Linked DNA regions of Mytilus edulis. The protein of the gene in region 1 purifies or fractionates together with the protein of each later gene. This does not show direct contact. Links are inferred from orthologs where the notes say so. Each region holds a gene or a part of one and is shown in the gene's direction. Other genes may lie near its edges. The genes, in order: cytosolic iron-sulfur assembly component 2B-like, general transcription and DNA repair factor IIH helicase subunit XPD-like, threonylcarbamoyladenosine tRNA methylthiotransferase-like and F-box/LRR-repeat protein 5-like.

Region 1 (6,848 bases):
CTCCACCAGGATGCTGAAATACAGGAAACTAATATTAAAATCATATTTATTTATTTACGATTGTGGTTACTCATTAAAATAACAAATTACATGAATAGAGAGTATATTATCCCAAGTACACTCATCACTTTCAAAATTGAGAATGGAAATGGGGAATATGCCATAGAGACAACAACCGGACAAAACAGCAGATAACAGCCAAAGGCCACCGATGGGTCTTCAATGCAGCAAGAAAATTCCAAATCAAGAGGTAGGCATCATCTAAATAAAAATCTGTACTAGTTCAGTGAAAATGGACGTAATACAAAACTCCAAAACATTTAAATGAACTAAAATGAAACCAGATGCTCTGCAGGGTGCAGCTTTATACGACCGCAGAGGTCGAACCCTGAACAGTTGGGGCAAGTATGAACAGTTGGACACAACATTTAAGCTTGATACAGCTCTGAATTTGGATTGTGATTAAATAGTTGACACAACATGGGTTTCTGACACAGAATGAATGTGGTCTAAGAACTTAAACTTAATCAAAGTGATGGAAATCACTCATGGAAAGATTAGAAGAGTAGTTTGAATAATTTCATATTAAGGTATGGTGAGGGAAAATGATCATTAATAAAGCACTATTGGAGAAAATTGCATTTACAGCAGGTCTTTAGAAGGAGAAGAGTTTTTCCAGTATGAGGATAAAATGAGCTCAAATTAAATAATACGGCTCTCTTAACTTGCACAATTTTATTTAAACTGCAGTTTATATCTTATCCAAATAATGTTGCCTGTGCTGAACATAAAATCGAGACCAACAGCTAAGAACATTAAAGTGTCAACAAAAATAATCTAAAAATGTTGTTTTGTGAAACATAGGTTATATGACATTGAAAGATTAAAAGTCGTAGAGTGTCTCAATATTTAAAGTATTTTTCAACACAGGGCATTGAAAATGTACTTTTTCAATGTAAACAAATTAAAAAAACTTTTTTTTATTGAAATGTGGATTGATGGGGAATAAACTAATAATTAAATAAACAATGGTTTGTTATAATTAAAAGTTTTAAAATTTTAAAACTGTTTCAAGCCAAATCCTGATAAAAAAAATTAGGGAACCAATCTAAATTGTTGATTAATTACAGTCTACAGATGTTTATTGGAAATTCATTAAGAAAATTATAGGCCTTACTTGAATATCTTATATATATATATATATATATATTCATATTCATATTTCATTTTTTTTTTTATAAGATCTTGTTATTCCATTATTTATCTTTCAGACATAATTTACAGAATCACTTTATGTAATCACAGGGATCTCCATGGATGAAAATTGAACGATGGAGGAACTTTCACCATTACAAACCGTGACTACGCTGTAAAGTGTAGCGCGATCGGAAGTATTTTATTCTTCCATACAGGGAATGGTGAACATGCTAATTCAATTGCTTATTTAAATTATATTTATTTGAATTTTCATTATAGAATTAGAAGTATCAATATTTTCATTTATTGCCGTTTTTAATCATTCAAATGCCAAGTCTTCATGGTCCCCCCTTAGTTGAGAATGACCAAAAGCTGTCATGGAGGTCCCCATGTAGATTTTTTGTATTTTTGGTAATTGTTATGGGGGTTAAAAATCATATGATGTGGAGCTTATTTTTCATGGACACTGTCAAATTCAGAACCCATTACCGGTATGGCTGATTTGCAGCAACAACAAAACGATTCGTACGGGTTATGTAAAAGGTTAAAGAGATTTATAAAGCAAATGTTGACAAATGAAAAGGTTTTTAATGACTTTATCTTGCAAATTGATGCTGTGCAACATGCCGCATCTTTCGAGTCTAAAAAAGTAACCGGAAACGCGGATGTATCAATTTGATTGTAATATACGAAATGAATTCGGAATTACGATACGATATTTCTTTACAGGAAATATTTAAATTTTTACTTTTAAACTTTTAAAGTAATTCTAAATTATCGTTACAGTAGTACTCAAGTTATTTGCGATGAAATAATATTTACTGTTTTGCGTCTTATTTTGTACTTCTTTAAAAAGGAGGATGCTGATTGCGTAAGTCAAAATAAAGCATGTGTTCGACTTGTTCAACTGTTTTCTTTGTAACTGGATTATTTATTAATTTAATCTAAATTATCATAATCATTTGCTGAAACTTATTTGGTTAATTCGACAAATGGATCGTCTATCCTCAGATAGTATTCTCCTGTCTGGTTTGTTGATCTACCTGTACAAGCTCAGGTACAAGTGATTAGCGATCTTAATCCGGATACCCCCCAGGCGTTAGAACTGTATTGGATTATAACATAAAAAGCCTAAGGGTTATGCAATGACATGCATTTGATTATAATTGATAAAAAAAATGGCGTCGGGCTACAAAAAAACGATGAAGTTTTGAACGATGGCGGAAGACAATTTAACGATGGCGCAAGACAATTTAACGATGGAGCAAGTCATTTGACGATGGCGCAAGACATTTGAACGATGGCGGGGCGCCATCGTTAAACAGGCCATGGAGATCCCTGATAATCATAATGTAGATAAAAAGAAATAGGAAATAATAAATGTATCAAACATCTAATATACACATTTGTGTATTCAATTATGAGGTCAAATATTTGTATATTGAGTTGCATATATATTAGAGTATAATTATGTAACACAGATGTTGAAAGGTAATGTGGTCAATTTGATTGACAGTTTAGGAGGTGGGGCATTATAATTAAAGGTCTACCTTGTCTCTTATTGTTTGTTGATAATGCCAGTTGTCAATCATATGAGTATTGTATCAATACTCAATAACCTAATCAAAATGTTTTAAAATAAGCCTGCACATCAACAAACTTTAATGATATACATTCTTAAATGAACTGCTCCAAAAATATACCCATTTTTTTCAGTTTATATGTGTATTATGTGCACATACATGAGAACTATAGGGAACTATATTTCAGTGTGAAAACATTTAGTAAAGGTAGCTAACCTGTAGTGTTGTTAGGGAGGCCAGTGCCTTTAGAGTAAAGATTTAAAACAAGTTCTTATCTTTCCAAAAAAATTTAAATTAGACATTTACCTATTTATGGTCCAATATCCAAAATCTAAATACATGGTTAGATTCAGCATAACATAGAACCCCAAGAATTCAATGTTCAATTTTAGACCCTTTATTTCGTTATCAAGCACCGGTAAGGGGAGTCTAAACATTTTGTTGATTTTTGTTTTAATTTTTATTTTGTTAACATCAAAATTGGGACATAGTAAATGGGACCAAGAACTTTACAGGAAAATATAGCTATTTTAACTTAGAATTAAATTGTGAAAGATTTGTTTAAGTGTGTTGAGTATGATGTCATATGGTACTTGTATATAAAGGTTAAAATGTGGATTGATACAGAACTGCAGTTTTACCCATTCATAAATTATACACAGGAATATTATAGTACAATAAAATTTACATTTTAATATAAAATTATTATCATGTATTAGCTTTGAACATGCCGAATGATGAATTTCTTTCATTTGTCCATAATTTATCCTTTCAATTTTTGTTTCGTACGTCCTACATCTTGACCTTTATGATTATGTGTCCCAATGTGAATGTCAAGTCTTTAAAACCATCTGCCCATCATAACTTACCTCTTCAAGAAACTTTGAAACATCATAAACATTATCATGAATGATCATAAGAGTCTTTGTTTTATCAGTGTTGTTCTTTACGTCGGCTTCTCTGAAAACTTTCGTCATTTTGCAAAAGTCGAGATTTCGTGAATGTCCCGGAAATGAAAGAAAACTTATAAAATTCGAAACGGACGAACAGAGTTACTCCCCTTAATATTTTTCCGGATTAGCATGAAATTCACTTCAAAATGTCCCAAAATGATTTAGACAATGCAAATCCTACAATATACGAAGTTGGTTCTGAGAGACCGGTCTTACCAGAGGAAGAAGATGAAAGTGTTACAGACAAAATAGATACAAGAGAAGTTTTTGGTAAGATAAACTAAATAATACGACAGCTGACTAAATCAGAACCATGTCATGGGTACCACTTGCTAAAGCTGCAACTTTAGTAAACATTTAAATTAAAACTGTATTGCCAGGTCTGTCTTGTCACCCTTATAAAACACACAGGCACTCGTCTCAGATTTTTTTTTCTAAAGGTATATAGGATTTTTTTTTTGAGACGAGTGCCTGTGCTTAAACACTGCATAATATTGCCTAGGCCAATTAAATGATTATGACGTCTTGAAAGGCCATTATAATTTTTTTCTTTGACTCCTAACTTCGACATATTGCCTTACACATCAAAAACACTACCAACCCCTATCATGCCATTACAATACAAAATATCTCAATAGACCACTTTCTACTTCCAGTTATGTCCTTCATTGGAAAAGATTGTCAATTGATTATGTGCACCTTTATGACATCATTTACCATATATAGGATCCCATGTATCTCTGCTCTATCTAAATTCATCAAGCGTCTTTATAATTGTCATTTTGCCGCATAAACCGGAAATAAAGTTTGTTCCGTAATACTATTATCACAATTCCCTGAATACAGAATAAATTGTGCAATACATCAGCATATTTTTTTCAACCTCTTCCTCAACATATAATTTGGTAGGAAGTGACAATGCCTCTTAACTATCTAATGATGTTCCAATTGCAAGCACTGAGATATTGTATCTATTGGGAGATATATAGGCTCATCATATGATTATCATGCTCCACAGATATATGGAAAGGTCACTATGGGAAAATGTAAATCATCTCTTTTGTTATACTTTGTTGTAGTTTAGGTTTAAGTTTCACAACTATACACATTCACTATCATGATTATAGTCGCTAAAGCAATTGTAAAACCCATGAAATCAATCCATGACAGTTGATGCCTTTGAAAGCATAAAGATATATATTTATAAATTACTTTCTTGATCAACTTCTAATAGTTGACAATACTTCACCATTTGAATGGTTTAACACTAGTCATATTTGAGGCCCTTTAAAGCTTGTCATTCATTGTGAGCGAAAGTTCTGTGTTGAAGACCGTTCTTTGACCTATAATGGTTTACTTTTACAAATTGTGACTTGGATGGACAGTGATCTCATTGGCACTGATACCACAGCTTCTTATATCTATTCACATATTGAGCCAGGGGGCAAATTTCTAAGTCTTTATTTTTTATTTCTGATTGATACTTTAATCAATTATCTTTACCATAACTGTAGCATATAGTTAAATAATATGTTTATTTCAGATTTGATCCGTGTTATAAATGACCCTGAACATCCACTGACATTAGAGGAATTGAATGTTGTTGAGCAAAGCAAAGTTATTGTAAGTATATTACTATCAACTGAATAAAAAAGATTACTGTAAATTCAGAAATTATTGCGATGATTTTATTATTGTGAAAAATGGGACAGGGTTATAATAGCAATAATTTAAATTCGCATTTTGAAATTTTTCCTTAAATTAAACAGGATTTTTCTCAATATGGCAAAAAAATAAAATCACATTGTAGTCTAAATTGACAAAAATTGCAATAATAAATGCATGCAATAATTACTGAATTTACAGTAGATGCTAGTAATGTCATTTATTTTAATCTTACAAGCATAATGTGATGTGTTTCTGGATAACTGTCTTCTGAGCTACATTGTTCATTATTTAACCTTTTATAAAGTATCTGCTGTAAAAAAGACTCACCTTGAGTGGGAACATAAACAAATTTAAGAACTAAAAAGAAATATAGTGTATTGGCAATTGAATGTCCGTAACCCTCATTTGAATTCAAGAGATATCTAAAAGAAAATTAAAATCAGATGAAATAAAATCATAACTTCAAGATATATTTTCAAGAGACTGTTTTGAGTCTGCAAGTGGAAATAATAATTATAAATACATTACATCATTAATCATGTTAATCAGTGCTTGATTTCCCATATTGGATGTTTTCAGACAAGTCGCAGGAAAAATCTCAAAAGAGCTATAGTGAAATATCTAACTTTATTCAGATTGATTAAATTGAGAATGGAAATGGAGAATATGTCATAGAGACAACAACCCGACCAAAGAGCAGACAGCCGTGAATAGAAGTTGTACATTTCATTAGAATTATATGCACCATAATGTTATGTGAATTTTTCTTTCAGGTAGATGATGATGCTAACAAAGTGACGATAGAATTTACACCCACAATTCCACACTGTAGTATGGCAACATTGATTGGATTGTCTATTCGGGTTAAACTTCTAAGATCTCTGCCACCAAGATTCAAGGTATCAAAAATGTAACATAAAGCCACAGAAAAACATCCTTAAAAATAAAAAAACTTAATTTCAAAAAAGTTATTGGCAAGGATTTGTATAGTAAGACTATACTATACAAATCCTTGTTATTGGTAAGCTGAGGATTTTTTATTGGAGCAAGAGCATTGCAAGACCTTATATAGCATTTTTATGAGTTTCTTGTAATGTATCAATGATTTAGCTGATAGAAAAAGAAAAGTATCAGAAGTTTTTATTTGAAAATAATACACTTTGTGCTTTGGGTTCATATGAATATTTTGCTGCTCTCTTAAAAGATATTAAAGACAAAAATAATTAAAATATTAATAGCTAAACAGTATATCTCAGTTCAGGGTTTCACCTTAGCAGTCATATAAAGCTGTGCCCTGTGGAGCATCTGATTGTCATATCTGAAAAACAATGATAAATAGAAAAATTGCAAAAATTATCAACAAGATTTTCACTCCTGTCAGATCATGTAATTTTTTAATTGCAGGTAGATGTTTCAATAACACCTGGAGCACATGCATCGGAAGAAG
Region 2 (7,782 bases), on another chromosome or scaffold:
TACACTTATATAGACAATAATAGTGCATTGACTTGACATACCAACGATATAAGGATGAGGCTTAGAAACGGGGAAATGCGATGCTCTGCCGAGCTATTTCCCCGTTTCGGGCCGAATCCTTATATCGTTGATGTTTCTAGCCAATGTACTATTATTGTCTTTATACTGCAATCTAGAAAAACATTTTAATTTGTTTAATGCGTTAAGGTTATTTATTTATTTAAATATTTGGGGAAATCCCCTTTAGAAAGGCCTCATATCATGCTCGTGGAGAAATATACAACGCAATGAAATGTACATTTACCTGTTGAAACCCACACTCGATGGTGAACGAAATCGTTTGAGTATGGACTAAAATATCAACCATAAGCATAAAACATAATGATTTATAGGTTGCAAACAAAAATTATTAACAAATGAAATATGTTTTTCCAATAATTGCAAAAGAAACAAGGTTGAGTCGTTCCATGCATAGTTGTATGCATGGGAAACAAGAACAGGTTGAAGAGGTCGTATGAATAATTAAATATTATTTCGGCAACTTCTATTTAAATATTCGTGAGGAAAAGTGATAGCGGGTCAGTGACTGTATATGACATAGAAATATACAGTCAACGCATTATGACTGCTCAAATAGAACGAGTGCAGTATAAATCGTCATAATATACGAACGCAAACATTTTGCAGTCGTATAAAAATTAAGTGCGTGTCACCTTTCTGGGTTTACCTTCATCGGGAATGTTTAAATTCAAAAAGTTGAAGGGCAATAATGTATATAAGGTGTCGGTATATTTCATTTTTTTTAATTTCATCTGCGTTTTACATGAAGAGTGTGTCTTCAGAATATGATAACATCTTTCAAGCTGCGTTTCCGTTGAGTTTATGTGAAGCTGTCACGAAAACGAAATTCCTCTAATCTGCAAGTCATGATCCTGTTTAGTAGTCCTCAAATGCACTTTGTACTTGTTTGGCTTTATAATTATTTTGATCTGAGCGTGACTGATGAGTCTTGTGTAGACGAAACGCGCGTCTGCGTATTAAATTATAATCCTGGTACCTTTGATAACTATTATCTTGCTGTTTTTTTTTTCTTTTTAAAAGTGTCTATCTTTCTTTAATAGTTAGAAATTAGGCAAAAATCGTTATTATAGGGCAATAACTGATTAGACAATAAGGTGTCGACTGAAGATTTGGCCACGTTTGACTTGTTTGTAGATCTTGTCTTGCTGGTCATAATCTCTATAATTGCCGAGTTAAATAACGAACATTTTTTAAAATAGTAAAATACATCATTTGAGGGCAAGAACTCTTATAAGAAGACGTTTCACAGTTTCGACACACACGAAAATAAATGTAGCTCAACATTCTGAACATGTTTTCCCTGCTAGATTTTCATTACCTATAGCGGTTTTAAAAGTAATAGTCAAACTTATATTTGACGCCTATTTCTATTTTAAGCCATGTAGGCCATTTTGGTTGGAAGGCCATTGATCATTGGACACATTTTTTTAAACTATATACCCAAGTGATGATTGGGGTTAAGTTTATTAAATATAGTCCAATAGATTTAGAGAAGATTTCTATAAAAGTAAACAGATGACAACGGACGACGGATGAAGGACAAGACGACGATTGGGGACGGACCGTCGGTCGAAGAACGACGGGTGTCAATCGAAGATCGACGGGCGCTAAGTATTTAGAGGTGATTGATTGACCTTTTATTCCAGGTGAGTTAAAAAGGGTTTAGGATGTTTGTTCCAAGCGGAACACATATTATGGCATTGTTTATAACAAAGTTTCCAGGCGAATTTCTGTTAGACAGGAACAAATACAACTAGACATAGCTTAAACTCGACAATTAAAAAGTCATTCATAACAGCAAAGGAACAACCTGCGACAAAAGGAGCCCAGTTGGTCTTCATCAAAACGATAATAAAGCCTGGTAAAGTGTATCTCGAAAAAACTATAACAAAACATTTACTGTGCTTTTCAGGTCGTATAATCCTTTTCCAAATAAGAATTTCCCTTTTGGTAAAACTGTTTGTAGTTAGTTTCGTAGTTAGTTTTGTCTCATTGACGTTAATATATACTTCACAGTTCATTTATTTCTGTGAATACATCATATTTATAGGTAATTAAGATTTGACTTGGTTTATTTTGTGCGTTAACTAAAATGATTCACATATGATATGTATAATAAATAACAACAAAGTTTACTTACTTTTACTCATGGTAGTTAATTGTAGGACATTTGTGGAATGAGAGTTACAGGCTTAGGTAACATTGGTCACACGTAATGTGAAAGTTCTGTCATTGCCGCATGGTTATCAAATCATGTCCAGGTTAATATCACATTACCTAAAATGAGAGCATAAACTTGCATGTATATTTATTTTATTTATTATTTCAGTTTCAGCAAACAAATTTCTGTACAAATAAGTAGAGCAGTCAATGCATAGCTAAGTATAAGGTTTGAATTATATTAAAATGAGATGCGAAAGATACAGGAGGGACATTTAAACTCGTCAGTCGAAAATAAACTGACAATGCCATAGCTTAAAAAAGTAAAATATCAACAGACAAACAATAGTACACAAAACACAACACACAACATAGAAAACTAAAGACAGCAACAGGAATCCCGAAAAAAACTTTATGTGATCCCAGGTGCTCCGGAAGGGTAAATTGATCCTGTTTCACTTGTGGCTCATGTCACGGTACAAACCCGGTAATAATTCTAATTCGGTAGGTCACATTAGGGAAAAATGATACTGGAGACCACAAAGCAAACGTTATCACATCAACATTATTCAACAAGATTAAAATGAATCGTGTTGTTTGCTAACAGTGGCGCCGGGATCCAGAACTTTTTATAAAAAGGGGTCGCTGAATGACCTGGGTTGGTCCGCTCCAGTCATGATTGATTGATTGATTCCATATATAAATAATCAACCAAATTTTCCAATGAAAAGGGGCCCCAGGCCCCCAAGGGCCCTCTAGATCCGCCTTTGAATTGACTTACTTCCGCATATTTCTCGAATTAATTCAAGTAAATGGACTTTGACCCCATTTATGAACTGTTCAATAAGTCATTTTTTTTTTTAGATTATATAATACATTTAGTACCCACAGTATTCACTGTTGTTTAAAAATACATAATTTTCCAGTAATAGTCAACGTTTTTCTGTGTTGCTCCAGTCGTTCATTTTGGACGACCCACTCATGCAGTATACACAGTCAAAATTGATATGGCAAGAAATGAAACTTCATTTTTTACACTAATAAAAATCTAGAAATATATTAGTGTTACCATAGATATTACATCTATGGTGTTACCTTATCTTTGATGTCCATGCATTCCCATTCAATCATGCGTCTTAAAATTTCCGAGAAAACAATGAACTATTATCCAACCATTTCCCCCTGAAGATATAAATAGAATCGACTCAATCTTAAAATGGAATTCCCCTTCTACATAATTAAAATTATTTGCGATATATTTTTGTCAGTAACATGCAACTAATTTCATCAATTAAGGTTCATCATAACCTTTTGGCTAAAATGGCCGTATTTACACCCCAAATTTTACTCTGAGTACAGACTAACCTATACACCTGCAACAGTTTTAAGGGATGGCAGGAACTAGATATATAAATTTTAAATGCATTTTATGTTTCAGAAAATTATAAACTTTTCTAGATTTTGCTATCCATTTTTTTTCGTTCCTGCAGAAGGTGCAAAAATTAACTAAGTAGTGAAAACGATTGAGAAGCTCCCCTCATATTATCAATGTTGTGAGTAGTATTGATTTAAATTGACAATAGACACCTGTAAACAATAGGTTATTTAACAGGTTTAAACTGTGTATCTGAGTGGACCGTATCAAATGAAACTCGGGTGTTTGTTTATTTTGCTATCTTCTGCAGACTGGAAAAAAATGAACATCAAAATCCAGGTAAGTTTTTAATTTTCTGAAACGTAGACTTCATATAACTTTTATATATCTAGTTCCTGCCATGCCTTAAAACTTTCCTGGATGTACCAGTTTGTCTGTACTCATAGTAATTTTGGAAGTGTAAACACGGCCATATTTTTCAATTCCTTATGATGAACCTTAAACGAGTTCATTAAACACAACGAAAAGTACTACAGACCACAGCCGGATGCAACAAATGCCACAACGCGGACGTCGCTGACAACACTCTATGACCGCAGCAGCCTTATATTGTTAACAAAGGATGTATTTTGTGTGAGTTCGTGGTCTAGTGGTTAAGACCGATGGCTACAGTGCTGAAGGTCCCGAGTTCGATTCTCACTCGGGGTGCTAAAAATCTCAGTACATTAGAAGGGTAATTTTCACCCTCTCACACACATCTCTGGTACCCAGACCGGAGTTTAAACTAGAATGGGTACGTTGGGGGCCTCGGTTGGTCAAAGTGTCCCTACTTTGACCTGGAGATCAATCTTCTGATATCTCTCTGGTTTGTCTGTTTCCACCGAGTGGCCCGGTGGTTCTCTCCGAGTACTTCGGCTTCCTCCACCACAATAACAGACTTCCCGGTGTCCTAGCACTCCCTTTGTGTTGAATTGGGTGGGGATTGGTTGTCCTTGTAAAAATAATTGTCGTATAAATATACGTTAGTGACACATCTCCATTAATCCCGTTAGGGAGTGTACATGGATGCCACTGTACCCTCGCAGCTTTCGAGGGGTTCTTCGGATATCGGAGGCATTTACCAGTACATACATACATAGGTAGTTATTTAGATCCGAAAACTACTTCCGGTGAAAACAAATCGGCATGATCAGCAACATTTGTTTAAAAAGTTGAATCATGAAGTAATGCTTTACGTCTTAATTATCAAAATCCTACTTGTTAGAAAAATACCATAATAGATTAAGTATAGATGAAGAATGAAGTGTAAAATTAAAAAAAACTCAAATAGGGAGAACTAGAGTAGCAAAAATAATTTATCAGCATCAGCTAGGACTATTTATAATTTTATACTAACGGGACTGGAAACTGATCAATCTGTTAAGATTTAAATGCCCCGAAAAGCGGGATTACTGATTTTTTGTTTTGATGACAGCTTATCGTGTCACGTAGTAAATTAGCATTTGGAACAAGTAAACAAGTCAGCCGATAGAAAACTATTAAAATTGGGGGATTCGAAATAAAGAATAATTATTAAATTAATTAGTTTATATGCAAAATAATCGATATTGTTTACGAAAAAATATTAATAAATTGTCAATATGTAAGTGTTGCCAGAAATAGTTGAAAATTAAAGTGGCCGACAATTTACTTGACCACTAAGAAAACAATGTGTCAAAGGTTAACAGATACATGTAATAAGGGCTATTTAAAAAAAAAATGATGCCTTTGTCAGATTATATAATCCTGATAAAAACAATTAGTGTGCAATAAAAACAATGTTGACAATTTCAGTTCCTAATTAATTCATATAACAAAATTAAAGCTATCCGGGTCTCATGAAAACATAGCCACATTGTTTTGAACTTTTTTGAACTTCGTGTTTATGTAAGTGATAAATTTGTCCTGGTAAAAAATGTCTGGGCGGACAAACATTACTACATGTAGTATAAAAAGTCCATGGTTACAGAATTTACTAGTATATTTAGTCCGATGTTAGTAATATATGTCCCCAGACTAATTTTCCTAGGTAATCATGTCCTTTAAAATCATATAATAAGTTCAATTACATGTACATTCAAACCATGGAAATTTAAAATGTTATGTTTTAGGCCACACCAATTTAATTTCTTGTTCTACGGATTTTTGGACTCCAAAATTTGGGGTGAGCGAGCGATTTGAAAATTTTAATAAAAAAATATTTAATTTGCAAATTTTTGAGGCGAAGCTTGAAAAGTAAAGGCGAGCGATTATAATTTTTTTTTGTAAACATAAAATAATAGGTTTTGACAATATTAAAACTTGATTTATCACTTGTACTTTGACATTTCTTTAATTTCTGAAGTATTTTTTCCCTGTTCACCAAGAAATAATTAAATCTGGTCTATGTATGTGTGACTGACAATGAGACAATTCTCCATCCGAATCATAATCAGTTTTGGGGCAACCCCTTAATGTTATAAATATCCCTTTTACATGTTTTATGAGGGATCAATATAAGTTATAATATATTTGTTTGTACAAAAGGGCTCATATTTTCTAATAGAAATATATATCTATCTGGTATTAAATGGTCAAAACATGTCCAAGAATTTAGAAATATTCCTGGACTTTAACCATGTTAACACATTTACTTTAACAGTTTAATATTATTCAAAATTAGTGGACCCCTCTTTTAGAAAAAATGTTTAAAATAGGATGTAACTCTCCTCTTTTTGAGTACAAAATTCTAAGTGTTCAAAGGTTTTGTATAGAAGAACTATTTTCTTTTCTACATCAGTAAAATGACCCCTTGTCTGAGGGAGGGTTGTTCTCAACCTGATAATAACAAACACAGGTCAAAGTACGGCCTTTTACACAGGGCTTTGATAAAGACCAAACAGCAAGCTATAAAGGACCCCAAAATTATTAGCGTACACAATTCGAACAGGAAAACCAACGATCTAATTTATATAATACCAATGAACAACATCAACAAACGATAACTGCTGAACGCCATGCTCCTGAATCAATCAGGACAGGTGCATAAACATGCAGCGACTATGGATAGTTTTGTTTCGCCAGCATACAATATAATTACAGTTGAAGGCAAATCCTTCAGAAGTTCTTTGTACTTTATTCTAACAACGAACATTTTTTTGATAGGGAATATAAGTAAGGGGGAAAGAAACCAATTTTTTGTTCTTCACGGAAATACCCGCTGTTATAACTTTTTATCGGAGCACTCCAGGTTTCATGCTGAAACAAATATTCTCACAGATATTTACACAGTGTGGTGGGGTGCTTTTATGTTTAAAATCGTTATATACAGGTTAGACTCACTGTGATTTAACAAATGTTGATATCTTTTTATAATATTTACAACAACAAAAAACGGTGCGGGAAATGGACATGATTACAATTCCGGATGCGGGAAGCGGGAATATAAAAAAAATAAAAAAATTCTGTTTTGAAAAAAATAGGTGCGGGCGGGTCCGTCAAACAAGGGATCGAATTGGTGTGGCCTTAGTAATGTTTAAGAGTTGCATAGTTATATTTTTGATAAAATTCATGTCCCCAGACTAATTTTCCAAGAAAATCATGTCCATGTCCTTAATACATGTAGTCTTAAGTTAAAATGTCCATGCCCTTAATTTTAAAAGGTGAATATGAATGTAATATGTTTTAATATTGCTAAAGACAAAATGAAAAAGTTGTGTATCAATCTGTTCAATAAAATTTGTCTCCAGACTAATTTTCCTAGGAAATCATGTCCATGTCATTAATAGTTCTAGGTTAAAATGTCCATGCCCTTAATTTTAAAAGGTGAATATAAATGTAATACATTGTATGTTTTAATATTGTTAAAGAGTTGTGTATCAATTTTTTAAATAAAATTTATGTAAAAATAAGGAAATTTTCCAATCTTATCTAACATTTTTTTCATCTATTTTAAATATATTTTTATATGATATAATAAAACTATAAGAAAAACAAGTCTTCGGACAATTGCCAGACATAATTTACTAGCTATGGACTTATTTTCCTAGGAACATTTGTCCTAGGACTTATATTCCTAGTAAAATCATGGACATGGACTTGATTAACTAGGAAAAAAAGTCTGTGGGACAAATTTTACTACCGGACCA
Region 3 (7,377 bases), on another chromosome or scaffold:
GACTCTAATCCCCTTATGCACGATTCCATTTTATCGTAAAATACTCTTATGCTGTGCGGCGTAAGTGACGGATGCGTAAGTTCAAGTAGATTCTGCATGTATGCGTTTATAATGGTTTGTGTCTGTCCATACCTCTCCTTTAACAATATGATTGCGTGTTCATAGTTGGCGTTTGATAGAGATAAACCGGATATGCATTGTGCGGCTTCACTGTGTACCTGAGATTTGAGATAGCTGAACTTTTGTATATTTGTCAAAGAGGGATTGTGATGAATGGTTGTTTCAAACGATTCCCAAAATGTCTGCCATGTTAATATATCTCCCGTAAAGTTCGGTAAATCAAGCTTAGGTAGTTTGTGATAGAAGTTTGTTGCTGTTGTTGGGTTTGCATTCGTAAACGGAGCTATTATCTACGGTATATACATTTTCTGAATGGTTTGAATTATGATTTGCAATACTTGTTGACGGAAAATTTGATGAATCAAGTGTATTGGCTATTGGAACATAAGTTGTTTCACTCACCGTTTGCTGAAATTGGGTTGTTTTGTTTCCAGTAACTATGTCCTTGAATCGGCGAATGGCGACTTCCATATTCATTGCATAATCGTCCGCGTCAAGAATTTCTTGTTCCATGTCTTCTAGTTCGGTTCCATCTAAGATCTGTGAGTCTAAAGATTCAAGCAGGTTCCTCTTTTTTGTAAGGTTGTCTGCGGCAGCCGAAAGTTCTTCATGTTCGATATCATCTTGCGAAATTCTTTCCTTTGTTCTATTAATTAATCTTGTAACTGCACTACGTTGACCACCACGAATTGCTTTTAATTTCTCCATGGGTCAGGCACCAATATCGTGTATCGTGTTTCTTGTGGTTAGTACTTCGCTTAAGGGTTAGTAATGAAAGGCGTTGTGTTCATATCAAATTGTATTCAAGTTATGTTCAAGGCAACGTTACGTAAAACAATAGGCAACGTAAACAATAGGTAACGTTAGTGACGTTAGTTACTTAGTAAATGTACAGCGGCTAATACTTGACAATGGCTTCCATGAATTATTTTGATTCTAATGGAACAAATACGGTCATTAAAATACAGAAGTGAGGGTTGGTTTGTGTGTGTGTGGCTGATCTTTTTTACTCCTTGTTCAAGTAGATAAAGCTCAAATATTTTAATAAATCCGTAGCTTGCATGGGTTATTTCATGAATAACCGCTAGAAAAAAACTGTTTAACTCTTCTAATTCTCAAACCCAACATTTGCCATTTTTAATTTACATGATTTTCTCGTAAGCTTCCGCCAAATCAAAAGTTGACATTTTGTAACTAAGGAGCCACCATGTTGACTTGCTGAAATTAGTAAATATGCAAATAATGCAATAGATTTGAAAATAAAACAAAACCTATCTCAAAAATCAGTTTTAATACAATAACATACGAATTTTGATGGTTCACGCAACAGAAAACTTTCAACTTTAGCGGTTTCATTTGTGTGACATCATGTTTTGAAATTGGACTTAAATGCGTCAAAAAAAATAATAGACTGGCACAGAATTTTATCTTATATTTATTTTGTTGATTTCTCCGAGCTCTTGTGCATTACTGCTTTTTTTTTTGCACCCTAATAAGAATAACAGTTATTTTGTCTTTTTTTAATTGCACTTTTTAAATCAATAAAATCGGCAAAGGGTCTGCAAATAGGTTCCAATACATGTAGATTTACGTGGGAAGTATATTGTAACAGCCATTATTATGTATATCTCTGAGTCTTTGCTAAGTATAGATATATCGAGAATTTTATCACAGTTTTGTTTACAAAGCGAAAGAAGCACATCATAAAAATGTATAAGAATAAATTTTCAACTTTTATTAGTATCACATGTGATTTTTTTTAATTCTGTTTTATATAATTCATCATAAATTATTGGGATTTTACCCTTTTTCTTAATTGGGGCTAGTTAACAGGGATTTAACGCTCTTCGTGAGTGGGGTTAGTTGGTGAAAAGAGTGGAGTGATTTTTTAGAAAGTGGACAAGTTGGAAAACAAGAGTGGTCAAGTTGGTGAAAAAGTTGGGCGGTTTCGTGAGGGGCAATTTGGCAGTTTCAAACTTTTGGCAAATAGGAAATGGCTAAATCATGTATATGACAGAATCAAAAATTGCTTATTTGCTTAAACTACATATTATAAAACTGAAGACTACACATTCAATTATCCCCTTCATAGGACAGATTTGGGAGGTCTGTGGCAACCCTCATAAATGGGTACCAGTGTGAGATCCTCCTAACTTGTAGATGCCAAAATAACTAAGTTTTTATTCGGACAGCCAGATGGACAGGCCAGCAACCAAAGTAAAAAGGGAAATTAAATTGTTAGCATACATGTATATAGCTAAATGTACATGGCCAACAACCAAAGTAAAAAGGGAAATTAAATTGTTAGCATACATGTATATAGCTAAATGTACATGGCCAACAACCAAAGTAAAAAGGGAAATTAAATTGTTAGCATACATGTATATAGCTAAATGTACATGGCCAACTTTTATTGGGATAAAATTTTGTAATGACAAGGCCGTAACTAGGCATCTTATTTTAGTGAGGCAAAATAATTGAGCCGAGCGAAGCGAGGCGAAATTTTTTTTGGAGGGTATGAAATGAATGGTGCAAAATCCTGCATTCTAAGCATTTTTAGAGAGTTTGATAATGTTTTGAATTTGGACACTTTTTATATAAATTTTTCATATTTTAAGACTTTTACTAACACCAAATTTTTAACAACTTTATTTAAATGTATATGTAAGATAATCATCCAAATATCACTGATTTGAGTCTGCTGCCAGATCATAGAACAAACATCGATTCAGTAGAATTTGCCAAAGTTTTCTATGGCCGGTTCAGTCAAATCGTTTTAGAATCATAATTTGGTCTGCTGATATCCTTATCGCGATGAAAATGGAGCATGGCAAGACCGCACAATCTCTCGCCACTCATGCATGCTCTTTGCCAAGTTTTCAGTCGTTTCAGGGCAGTCTGTGTTTCAAAAGGTAGCACATTATCATCAACACAATGATCAATGTCTTCTTACAATTCCTTCTCCATCAGCAATTCGGTAGCAGCATCGGTAGTAACAGTTTTGTTTCCAAAAGGGAATTAAGCTTTCCTGTAAGCACTATCATACAGTTGCAGTTACAAAATATTAAACTCGCTTTTATGCTGACAAAGAGTAGACAAACTAGGGATAGAATGAGATAAGATACATGTATATGATTCTATCTATAGAGTAAGTATACATGATATGGGTACAGGGGAATTGGAATGGAGTTTTTGACGTTTACATGTAGGTCCATAATTTCAAATTATTTCTAGAAATAGTTGGAGATATTTTAGTTTCAGAATCTATAAATTTAGGGGTTAGGATTGGGGGTGTACGATTACGAAACCCAGAATATAAAGAAATGAAATTCCCTAGTCCCGAATAAGTAAAGACAAAATCCTGTGTTAACGGTTCTACAATTCCTCAATAATATCAAATTGGAATATGGATATTCTTTCAATTTTTAAGGTTAAAGAAACATGGATAAAAACTAATCCATGCATGTTTCATATTATTTATATTTTATTTATCTGTAAAGAGAAAGGTTAAAGTTCGTGAAATGAATACGCAGACAGGACTGCCCCCTTGCGATACCCAGTACTTTATTTGTCAAAAGTTGGTGAAATGGAGAAATGAATACGCAGACAGGACTGCCCCCTTCCGAAGACCAGTACTTGATTTGTCAGTCTACTTATCGTTTTTGGATTGTTCTAATGAAGTTATATGCAATACTCAGACTCTGTTCACAAAAAAACTAGTTTACTAGAATTATTCCTTCTTTACCTTCAGTGTCGCTTTTCTAGATTTTTCTGCAAGAGCCTGTTTTTAACTAGAGATCCATGATGATTATCGTTACTAGGTTAATGTAATCGAGAAACATCACCCGTAGAGATGCTGAGTTATATCCAGGAAGAATAGTTTAAAAGGAATGGTGACAAGTTGTAGAAATTAAGGTTGAGACAGAACAACAAATGACTATTATATTTATATATATGTATAAAAAAAATTATCAGTGTCGAAATTTTAGTGAGGCAATTGCATCACTTGCCTCAAGGGTAGTTACGGCCTTGAATGACTTTATTTAAAGAGGGTGACTCCATTTGTGGATGTTTTCATGGGTGAATAGTGAATAAATGAATGTAACATGTATTCTTGAAAGTTAAACCTTTGATTGTGACACAGGATAACACTCTGTTGCTACTTTACAGCTAATTGTCATTGTGGGACTCTACTTTCACTTTCATGTGATACAAAGAGCTCTCTAATTTGAAGGTTAAAATCAGAGATTCACGTTGTGCTTCCGGTTGCATGAAATTTCAACAGAAAAAGTTGATGAAAGAAATGAGAAGTGTTCCTTAGAACCAAGTTTGAACCATAGATTATCAGTAGGTTTAAATTAAAAGTATTTATTTGTGTGTGAAATAGCTGATGAATCTTTCACCGGAATATGTTTAATATTAAGGTTCACATATAAGGTTCATGTGGACCCTATGGTCTGTACTCAGAGTAAATTTTGAGGTGAAAATACGGCCATTTTAGCCATAGGGTCCACATGAACCTTAAGGTAGACAGGCTTGTAAAAGCAAGTGCAACAGGCACTTGTTTCTGTCAATGTGGGGTTTACTAATATGAGGCAGGCATTTCCTGTGATTGGGGACGAAGTCTGTAATTTTTTTTTTAATTCAAACATGTTGATAAAAGAAACGGAAATACCGTAACGTTTCCGATGTTGGTTCTGTTGTTAGGGATTAAGTTGTGACGTTGTTTAAGTTATGACGTCATATTCAATGTAAACAAAGAAACGCTGTTATCCAGGTAACGTTTTTTTCATATCAAACAATTATTAAAAATGATTGGGTGTTGAGTTCCTTCCTATATTTGTTGATATGTTGATAAATATACATTTTATTCAAAGTCTCATGCAAACAAGACCGGAAACGGAAGTAGATCTGAAAAAAAAGTTAACAATTTTGAGTTCATTAGTACAGTAAAAAATTCGGGAAATTTTCCCGAATTTTTTTTTTTTTTTAAATTTTTCTACCGTAATTGGGGACTTCGTCCCCATATAATTTAGCACGGTTGACACACATATTTTTCGTACGGTTGTGAAAAGTAAACCCCTCATTGACAGAAACAAGTGCATTGAAAATATCTATCTTTTTATAATCACTTTCGCCCTGATTTCGTTCCTTAATGTGAGTCAGGTGTTGTTTAAAGTCTTTTAAATAGGATTTGTTAATCAGTCTTATTCATTGTTTTGTAGTTTTGTATATGCATGATTACTAATCTGAGTAACCAAATCATTGTTTATTCTTTGTGCAATGCCAATGACATTATCGTCAGACCTTATATTTTCGTAAGTCTTATGTCATACTATGCATGCTTTTTCATTGGAAAATGTGACAGACACGACATTGCTTTTATATAGCTCAAACACCCATAAAACAAGGATACATATGTACATTGTAACATTCCCACAGAGCTCCAGATAAGCTGCATATTTGCGTGATCACACGATAAAAATAATTGAAAACCCAATGCAATTGCCCATTGCAGAGTTCTAAAACCCCAATTCATGCAAAGAAAAACCCAATAATTTGTTAAAACCATAAGTTCTTCATGCTTTTTGTCGCTATAGTGTTGGTTATTTACCCTTATCTATTCCATAGTCGTCGCATAGATCTATTTTTGTAATATTAAAAATCAGGAAATGTCCTTTCGTTCAAAAAATAGATTGTTGAAAGGGTCCCTGTTGAAATGTTCCAATGCTAAAAGGTACTTGTGGTGAGGAAACATTTCTATCTTCTCTGTCTTTATCCAATTAGCGTAAGCCATGTCGTCATAATTCTTTCCGTACTTCTCAGGATTTAACAAACCACTTAGCAATGAATTAAAACAAAAGTAAATTTCCGGTAAAAACATTAAATAGAAGCATGTTTTAGTTTCCTTTTGAGAGGATTATGATAATAACAAGACTCAGCTAGTGTTGTCAGGAAGCGTCCCTTGAACACACAGGGTCGTGCAATGGCGCGTCCAGGATGGTTTGCGTGACTTAACAATAACAGGGTTAGAATTCATCAAAACTAAAACTAAAACCCTTGTAAATCCAGATTTATGTTAATAAAATTATACAAAAACATTGTTTATTTTTAGTTCAAGAGTATATATAGTACATATGTATATATTTCATTTTAGTTGATGAGTGAACACACACATTCAATATTGTGTAAATGAAAAAACCCAATACATTAAGAAGCTTGGTGGTGAAAACCTCAATTTGATATTTGCTTGAGGGGTGACTTGGAATTACAAAAAAAAAATGTAATAATGCAATTGAAAAACTATTTCACTCAATTAAAAAAAAAATGGAGGGGTAAAAACCCCAATTTGGGAATTCTTATCTGGAGCTCTGTTCCCAAACATGTACATCCCCCAAACCGTGTTCGTTTCTCACAAACATGTCTATAGACGTATTTATACTTGTAAACAAGTTTGTCCGCTATTACGTAAAAATCAAACAGGTTCCGGTAAACTTTGACATCACAATTCAAAACATTTCACGTCACAATTTAAAGGGATTGTTGCTTGACGTCAGAAGGTTATTCTAAGGCAAAATTCAGCTAAATACCAAAAGTCTAAATACATTTATTTTGCCTAAATGTATCTTAAAAAAGTTGATATCGCCTAAAAGTGACCAATTTCATAACCACTTGAAAGTGTCAAGTAATTGCTATTTGCCAAAACATATCCACTTTAAAACTCCAGAATGTCTGAAAACTTCAAGCGTTATAGTCGCCTTCATGTAAAATTGGCGCTATGTTTTTTGTTGAATTTTTTAAAAATAACCAGTAGTGTTCACCCAAAATGACGTTTTGTAATTTGCGGCATTAAAAATATTTAAAGAAAAACAATACTGTCCTACCGTTAATTGTTTTTGCACTTTATCAGGGCTTAGGCCACAATGGTAAAGAAGTAGCTTTCCCGTCCTTCATTTTGCTTTGCCTGACCCCCAAAAGCAAAAACAAGTCGCCCTGTTGTTTACGATACTTGTTTTCCGTTGCTTTCGTCATCCGCAATATTCAATTTTTACTAAGTCGATGATATAGCATTTTTTTTATTTAAAAGTAAAGAAATTCAAGGCATAAAGAGTTTAAAGCATTGATTTTTAAGCTGGTGGCATGACTAATGTTAATTGATAAAAATAATTTTTTAACTCTTCATGTACTTCTTATTCAAGGAACGTACTTAAAATCATTCTCACTTTCGGCAAAATAAGTTGTTAATTCATTAGAACT
Region 4 (7,437 bases), on another chromosome or scaffold:
GAAACTTCATCACGAATTACATTGAATTGCTTTTTAAATGTTTGTGTATTGATCAATATTGGGTGCAAACATCATTTGCTGTTTTTATATTCAGTTAGGTCATTTGAGCTTGAAATTTAAATTAGAAATATTTTACCTATTATAAACTGAGACCATTTAAAATTTAAAACATTTTCATAAACGTGTCTGGACGGCCACTTCTATAGATCGATTGAAATCCCGTTAGATCCATTATACTTAGGTTGGTTTTCATACTAATATGTACTGAATAGGTATATTTTAAAATTTATTGACTTAATTCCATGTTTAAATATTTGTAACCAATAAACACACACAGAGATAGATACAATATACGTGTGCTCCTAAGACCATTTTATGTCCTGAACAAGGTTTAGATTTATTCTGAATTGTTCATATGTCAAAAACGATGGAGGTGGTATTTATAAATCAATTTAGTATTCAGTAAAGATGCGAGGATTTGCATACATTAGAAGATGATGCTTTATATTCGGGATTATTTTGAAATTCGCTGAATTGTTTTTATGTTTTTCTTATTGTATATTTTTCTTATTGTTGAGAGACTAGACATTCCGTCTTAAATGTTTTAACTCGATGATATGTAGATCTGTATAGAAATGAAGCAATGAAATGGGTTTGGTTGTTACTAGTTCTGCATTATGTATTGATTTTCGTTCCGTAGAGAGTATACTATGACCCGAAAATTGTTTGCTCAAAAACTATCCTCTTAGATCTGGTACAGCAGGACTTGTGACTTTAAGACCCTTTCGAACGACAATATAGACACCTTATAACTGCATTTTTTTCATTTAAGATAACAATAAAACAGCAGCACTGCATCGCAATTGGGAAAATATAAAACAGCTTCTTCTAAATTTTAAATTGTTTGAAAAGGAATGTGCTGTCAATATTTGTATTTTTGCACTTGTCCCGAATGAACCAATGTAGAATAAGTTGATAATTTTGTAAGCATACTTCTTTTTTAATATTAACTAGTGTTATATGGTGAAGTTTTCTTAAAAAAGGTGGATTTAATCGAATATTAACAAATAGATGTTTTTCTTTCGTTGTGTTGCTTGAATCCGTTTGGAATTTTATAAGTTGAATACACAGTTTGGTTATCTAAATGTCATCACATATGACATGATGTCGCTTTATCTATGATACTTGATGGTAAAAGAGGGATATCCCCTCCTGGTTAAAAACAACAATGGAAACACTTTGTTTTGCTTCAAGTTGATAAACCAAAAGAATTTCGCACGGGGTGTAAGAGTCAAACAATCGCCCATTGAATGTTTGTTGTATTAAGTATCAGTACAACTTGTTACCCGTATCCGGGACATTAGATTTTTTTGAGACTCTTCATAGATTAGATAGTCGATGGAGTGACCGTTCATAATATAGACTTTATAGTTTCTTATCAAATAAACAAACAGAAATCTTGAAATTTAATCGATGTCTGAGATTTAATATTATTTCTAAAATTAAAATAAATTTGTGATAAAAATGTCAAGTGTAAATACGTCTTTAAAAGGGACCGGTTGTTCCCCGATTCCGATGATTGATCATTCAATGAATTAGTTATTTCTGACAAAACATATATACTACAAATATATATTTCTTGAATGGCATTGCAGAAATTCTGTTTAAAAAAAACCAGTTTCTTAAAATACATAAATAAGTCGGAAGTAAGTCTAATTTGAAGCCATCGGTTATTTGAATGTTACTTTCAGTAGAGGTAATCTTTTGGAAGATAGGACCAAAAACGATATTTACAGATATTTACAAACATGACACATTTTAAAACAAAAATAACTTGACTGGTGCACCCAAAGAAATGTAATTTTTGTTTAACTAATTTAAGTTCCAACTTCTTTAATGGAGTGCTACTTTGTGTATTTGTTTCAAAGGAGTCGGTACACCCTTTAAATTCCTATTTTCTCTCCATCATTCAATGGACCACATCTCTGACTGTGTGCTCTAGTGTGTGACTAGTGGCGTTTTGGGTAATTTCCAATTTTTTAATTAGTTTTATTTACCGTTCAATTATTGTGACTGAGCTTTGATTTTGATGTGCATTCAAATTGTGCTGTAAACAAAGTTTAAATGTCGTGTTGATTGATGTTGATATACATATTTGTCATAACTGCCGACGATCCACCAGTCTGACACGCGACGAGGGGGGGTACAGTACAATCTGAAACTGAGAATTACAAGCCGTCGATCAATGATTAAACCTTCAACTCTTCGAAATGAGAACAAATCATATCCGAGAATGACAACAAACGTAGAAAATCCCGACCTCAGTTTTCAATACATTTTTTACATTCATCTATATACATATTCTGACTATATATCATCATCACGGTGACCGTTTCTTATGATTTTAACTGTAAAGCAACCAACACTCATCAAATTTTAAACTTTTTAGTAAACTGCAACAAGAAACAAGGATACATATAACATTGAGATATTTAAACAGTCACAAGCTGTTACGAGCTTTATACTTTTCCCCCTTCTTGTAGACTAGCTCAAATAAACAAATTGGCAGTGATACTAATTTTGTTACAACTTCATGGCGAGTCAGTATTTATGTATGTTTGGAAATAACGACAGGTTCATTTATTTCACATATTTTTATGCCCTGAAAGTCCGCCCATCCTTCATCAAATCAACTTTTTTAATTGTTGGTAAAACATTGTAGTTTTACTGTACTCAAAATAGCGTATTTAATCCACGTATTTTCCTTGTATACCTATGAATAAAAATGGAGTAGATATTTTACAATTAATCGGGTAGGTATTGAACGAATAATACGCTGTGTCAGATGAAAAATTCATGAACTATCGCTTTTTGCAGGTAACATAGGTACATGAAACAAGTTCAGATCCTTAAATCAATATCGTTCCGAAGAGAGATTTCCATCTTATTAAAGGAATCGATTTGTTTGACAATGTAATCCTATGATTTGCACCTAAGCGACTGATAAGAAAGTTATTTTAATTTATAGCATTATGAAATAAACATCACATACACAATATGATAGTAACGTGTATGCAATACGCAGGAATTTATATTTTTACTATTCATTGAATGTGGACATATTGCCAAAGATATAAATTTTCATTTGAAAGGGTCCTATAGCTGAATGGCAATTCGATTTTTGTATTCTTCATAAACGCAAATTTCTAAAAGAATAATGCAGAGTGTCACAATAACAAAAATTTAATATGAATATGAAACATTGGAAAATATATATTCGAAATGATAAAAATATTGTATAAAATCAAAGTACATATATATACAAAATGTTTATGTACAAATTTGCCAACTGGACGGACTGGCACTGGTAAGGGCTAGAGTATACAATACTCTCAGCAAAACGATTCAAATATTCTTAAACAGTTTATAGAAACATGCAAAGCATAAACAAATAAACATGACACATGAGCACACAAGCTGTGAAGTGTTTGAGCAAATGAAATAATACTACATGTAAATCTCCTCGCAACACAACTGATTAAAATCCATAACCATTTAATTATTTCTACATGACAATTGAGTGTAATTACTCTGAATGTTATTATTGTGAAATATGCACTAGGCAACGAGAGTTTGACTTTACAAAAGAATCACAGTTATTGAAATGCGGAATGGTTTCTTTTCGAATTTTCGCCTTCAAATCGAGTTTATACACTTACACGTGGATTGGCAGGTATTCCTGTTCGGGTATAAAAAGTGTCTGCTACAATTTTTGTACGCCCGTGCTGAGGTTTTTTAATGTCTTCTTTTGGAATGACATCCCCAAGTCTCCAACCGTATTCCCAAGAACTAAGAAGTGGGAAAGAAAACTTATCTTCAGGACTGTCCTTGTACCTTGAATGTAGATATTGATATCGTCCTTTTCCTTCCTTTGTAAATCCGTCGTATAACTTTTCCTTGACTCTCAAATCCACCGGCCGCATTTCTGCAACAAGTTGCGCAAGTCCTTTTTCTGATTTTTCGTTTTGTAAATCTTCAAAGTTCGACTTCTTTTTGTTGAATTGTTGTGGAGCATAATCACCTGATATTTTGTTGAACATGTCCTCGGCCGGTTTGGGAGCATTTTGTATTTTTCTTCTAGCAACTTCAGATTGTTTTGAAGCACCAATGTTGGCTCCCGAATTTTCCCTTAATTTGTAATACCACTGAAGTCTAGTGTCTCTTTCTTTGTTGTAAGACTCCTCCAAAAATTTCTGGACTTGTGTATTGGCAGGATAGTTCCGTGCCATGTCTGTATTTGGTTATTCACTTTCCAAAAACTTCAAAAACTAATTTTTACACTTCGTATCACTGTTTGACAACTTACCGGGACACTGCACGAGCGTTTAAGATTCCTATAGCAACCCGGCGTCACAATCTCGCATCTCGCGAGAAAACGTGAGAGTCAAAAGAAAAACAAATATGGCGCCGAATTGTCCTGAAGAAGTCGATGTTTTCACAATTCCTCATTCTCGAATGAAGGAATTGGTCAAAAAATATCTTAACATGGTACACACAAAATCCCAAATACTATCATTGTTTTTCTTAAAATCATTACTGCTGTCGTTTCAATGACTAATGAACAGAGCGAAAAAGAAAAAAAAAAAACACCAAAAGTCACTACCACATAATTTTCAGCAAAACTTGCTAAATAGTCATTCCCAAAAAATGGGAACAATTCAAATGTAGACACTGTTAAAAAATAAATTTCAACTGAGCAGAGAGAGAGTGTTGTTTTCTTCTGTGTCTATATCTAGTCTGTCATTTTTGTCGAGCCTGCAACTTTTGTTGCAGAAAGCTCGACATAGGGATAGTGATCCGGCGGCGGTGTTAGCTAACTTCTTAAAAGCTTTATATTTTAGAAGGTGGAAGACCTGGATGCTTCATACTTTGTATATAGATGCCTCATGTTACGAAGGTTCCGCCAGTCACATGTCCAATGTCCTTGACCTCATTTTCATGGTTCAGTGACCACTTGAAAAAAAAGTTCAGATTTTTTGTAATGTTGAATTCTCTCTTATTATAAGTAATAGGATACCTATATTTGATATGTGCGTACCTTGAAAGGTCCTCATGTCTGTCAGACAGTTTTCACTTGACCTCGACCTCATTTCATGGATCAGTGAACAAGGTTAAGTTTTGGTGGTCAAGTCCATATCTCAGATACTACAAGCAATAGGGCTAGCATATTCGGTGTATGGAAGGACTGTAAGGTGTACATGTCCAACTGGCAGGTGTCATCTGACCTTGACCTCATTTTCATGGTTCAGTGGTTATAGTTAAATTTTTGTGTTTTGGTCTGTTTTTCTCATACTATATGCAATAGGTCTACTATATTTGTTGTATGGAATGATTGTAAGGTGTACCTATCTAGCGGGCAGATGTCATGTGACCTTGACCTCATTTTCATGGTTCAGTGGTCAAAGTTAAGTTTTTGAGTTTTGGTCTTTTTATCTAATACTATATGCCATAGGTCATCTATATTTGGTGTATGGAAATATGTTATGATCTTTATGTCAGTCGCGCAGGTTTTGTTTGACCGTGACCTCATTTTCACGGTTCATTGCACAGTGTTAAGTTTTTGTGTTTTGGTCTATTTTTCTTAAACTATAAGTAATAGGTCAACTATATATGTTGTATAGAAGCATTGTTAGCTGTACATGTCTGCCTGGCATGGTTCATCTGACCTTGACCTCATTTTTAAGGTTCATTGGTTTTTGTTTAGTTATCTTGGTTAATGTTAAGTTTATGTGACAGTTGTATTAAAGCTTAGCTTTATACTTAGGACTATCAACATAATATCAATGATTAGTATAGAAGGCGAGACATTTCAGCGTGTCCACTCTTGTTTTTATTTTTACTTACACCATTTTAGTTGTTTTCTAGTTTTAGCATTTTTTGTAAGACAAGGTAAGTATGAACGTATCGGAGGTTAGTGTTGTATAAAGTCATCTTAAAAATTGCATTAGAGAAAAACACAAGATTTAAATCCAGGCTCATGTGAAATGGGTTACATTTACCACCATAGCAAAATGATTTATACGTATTATTCTGTATATATTGAAAGCAAAAACCAATTTTAAGGTCTGAATTAATATAGTGTTTAAAAAATAATTCAAGTAGTTTTCACAACTTATTTAGTAATAAATTTAAACTAATGAAATGTTATGCTGTATAATATTTTAGTTTCATAATACAGCTTTCCAGGAAAAACCCTATTATTTATGTTTTGAATCACTTGTATGTATTTTTTATGCTTGTATTAATCCACAATCCCATCTTTGTTACGGAGGTTGATATCAAACCAGTATCTGAATGCTGATACATAGTAACACTTAACTCTTTAATGCTAGCTTTTCTAAACAATTCATTGAATTTACAAACTAAAAAACTGTTTTCTATGATATCAAGTTATATGTTTCTTTTAGTCAAATGGACTTGTTCTTGTCAAAATCTCCGTAACGATTCATGAACTTTCACTCAAAAATATGTTTTACCTAAACCGAATACTGTTCAACTTAATTTTATTAGCTCTATACAGATAATGTCATTTTCCTTCACACCATAATGTATGTATTATACTCAACTAGTCAAAATAGTTTCATTTCGAAAATTTCTATCCTCCGTTACAACATTTAAAACCTCCATAACGGACAATTCCAGTTCTTACCAACAGCAAACATATAAATGAATGTAAATATTGGAATTAAATGACAAACAAGACAACAGAATTAAATATTTTTCTTAGTAAATCGTTATCTAAAAAAGAGTAAAGTCCTGTTAGAGAAAAAAAACTTTTTTTCCTTAAATTTCTATCCTCCGTAACGTAAATCAGTGATGTCGTCTATGATTGACATCACCTTTTGATTTTTATTAGTGATAATTGATGAACTGATTTGGTATCTATAACAATGTACAAGAATTTCAATTGGTATGATCGTGTTTACATGCATCTTTAGATGTTTTTTATTTGCATAACCTCTGTTACATTGATGAGTCCTAAATAATCTTGAAAATGTTTGCCATAAACCGCTGTTAAAGTTATAATTGTCGTCGTAATTACACAAGTTGTGTTGTAGACTATTTAAATCTAAGAAAATGGCTGATATAACATTTATTAAACGTTATAATGTTGCTCACATAATAGGAAAAAACAAGTTAACCTACCTTTCTCAAAACAACATTTTTTTTCTCAAAATCTGTATTTTGTTTGTCTGTTTTCTTTATAATAAATGATGTCTGCTATAAAAATGTCTTTCGGCAGTGTCGGCAGCCGCTGATACAGATCAAAAAGTCTGACAACTTAACTGTAAATAACTGCGTCACGGAGGTTAGTTTTATTTACATTATACATGGAAATATGTAACCATATTGTTCAGTTGCTTTCTCAAAACTGAT

What was found.
Region 2: the proteins of cytosolic iron-sulfur assembly component 2B-like (region 1) and general transcription and DNA repair factor IIH helicase subunit XPD-like purify together in Homo sapiens (affinity purification with western blotting; 3 studies listed by BioGRID and IntAct, with this or other methods). This does not show direct contact. The link is inferred for Mytilus edulis from reciprocal best matches to the Homo sapiens genes CIAO2B and ERCC2.
Region 3: the proteins of cytosolic iron-sulfur assembly component 2B-like (region 1) and threonylcarbamoyladenosine tRNA methylthiotransferase-like purify together in Homo sapiens (affinity purification with mass spectrometry; 3 studies listed by BioGRID and IntAct, with this or other methods). This does not show direct contact. The link is inferred for Mytilus edulis from reciprocal best matches to the Homo sapiens genes CIAO2B and CDKAL1.
Region 4: the proteins of cytosolic iron-sulfur assembly component 2B-like (region 1) and F-box/LRR-repeat protein 5-like purify together in Homo sapiens (affinity purification with mass spectrometry; 3 studies listed by BioGRID and IntAct, counting the BioPlex papers as one, with this or other methods). This does not show direct contact. The link is inferred for Mytilus edulis from reciprocal best matches to the Homo sapiens genes CIAO2B and FBXL5.

What each region holds. Positions count from the first base shown.
Region 1 is NC_092348.1:64,362,735-64,369,582, reverse strand, and holds the start of cytosolic iron-sulfur assembly component 2B-like, read left to right. Parts: upstream 1-3,830; 5' UTR 3,831-3,879; coding exon 3,880-4,003; intron 4,004-5,276; coding exon 5,277-5,356; intron 5,357-6,174; coding exon 6,175-6,300; intron 6,301-6,805; coding exon 6,806-6,848. Other genes in the region: cytochrome b5-like, read right to left, coding at 1-13, 3,650-3,757.
Region 2 is NC_092346.1:11,156,893-11,164,674, forward strand, and holds the start of general transcription and DNA repair factor IIH helicase subunit XPD-like, read left to right. Parts: upstream 1-4,755; 5' UTR 4,756-4,834; coding exon 4,835-4,839; exon of another isoform or gene 4,840-4,957; intron 4,958-7,782. UniProt on the Homo sapiens protein: ATP-dependent 5'-3' DNA helicase. Component of the general transcription and DNA repair factor IIH (TFIIH) core complex, not absolutely essential for minimal transcription in vitro.
Region 3 is NC_092344.1:115,480,879-115,488,255, forward strand, and holds the start of threonylcarbamoyladenosine tRNA methylthiotransferase-like, read left to right. Parts: upstream 1-4,362; 5' UTR 4,363-4,467; intron 4,468-7,377. Other genes in the region: uncharacterized protein, read right to left, coding at 4,248-4,301. UniProt on the Homo sapiens protein: Catalyzes the methylthiolation of N6-threonylcarbamoyladenosine (t(6)A), leading to the formation of 2-methylthio-N6-threonylcarbamoyladenosine (ms(2)t(6)A) at position 37 in tRNAs that read codons beginning with adenine.
Region 4 is NC_092344.1:83,470,709-83,478,145, forward strand, and holds the start of F-box/LRR-repeat protein 5-like, read left to right. Parts: upstream 1-4,433; 5' UTR 4,434-4,461; coding exon 4,462-4,548; intron 4,549-7,437. Other genes in the region: protein SPMIP1-like, read right to left, coding at 3,708-4,289.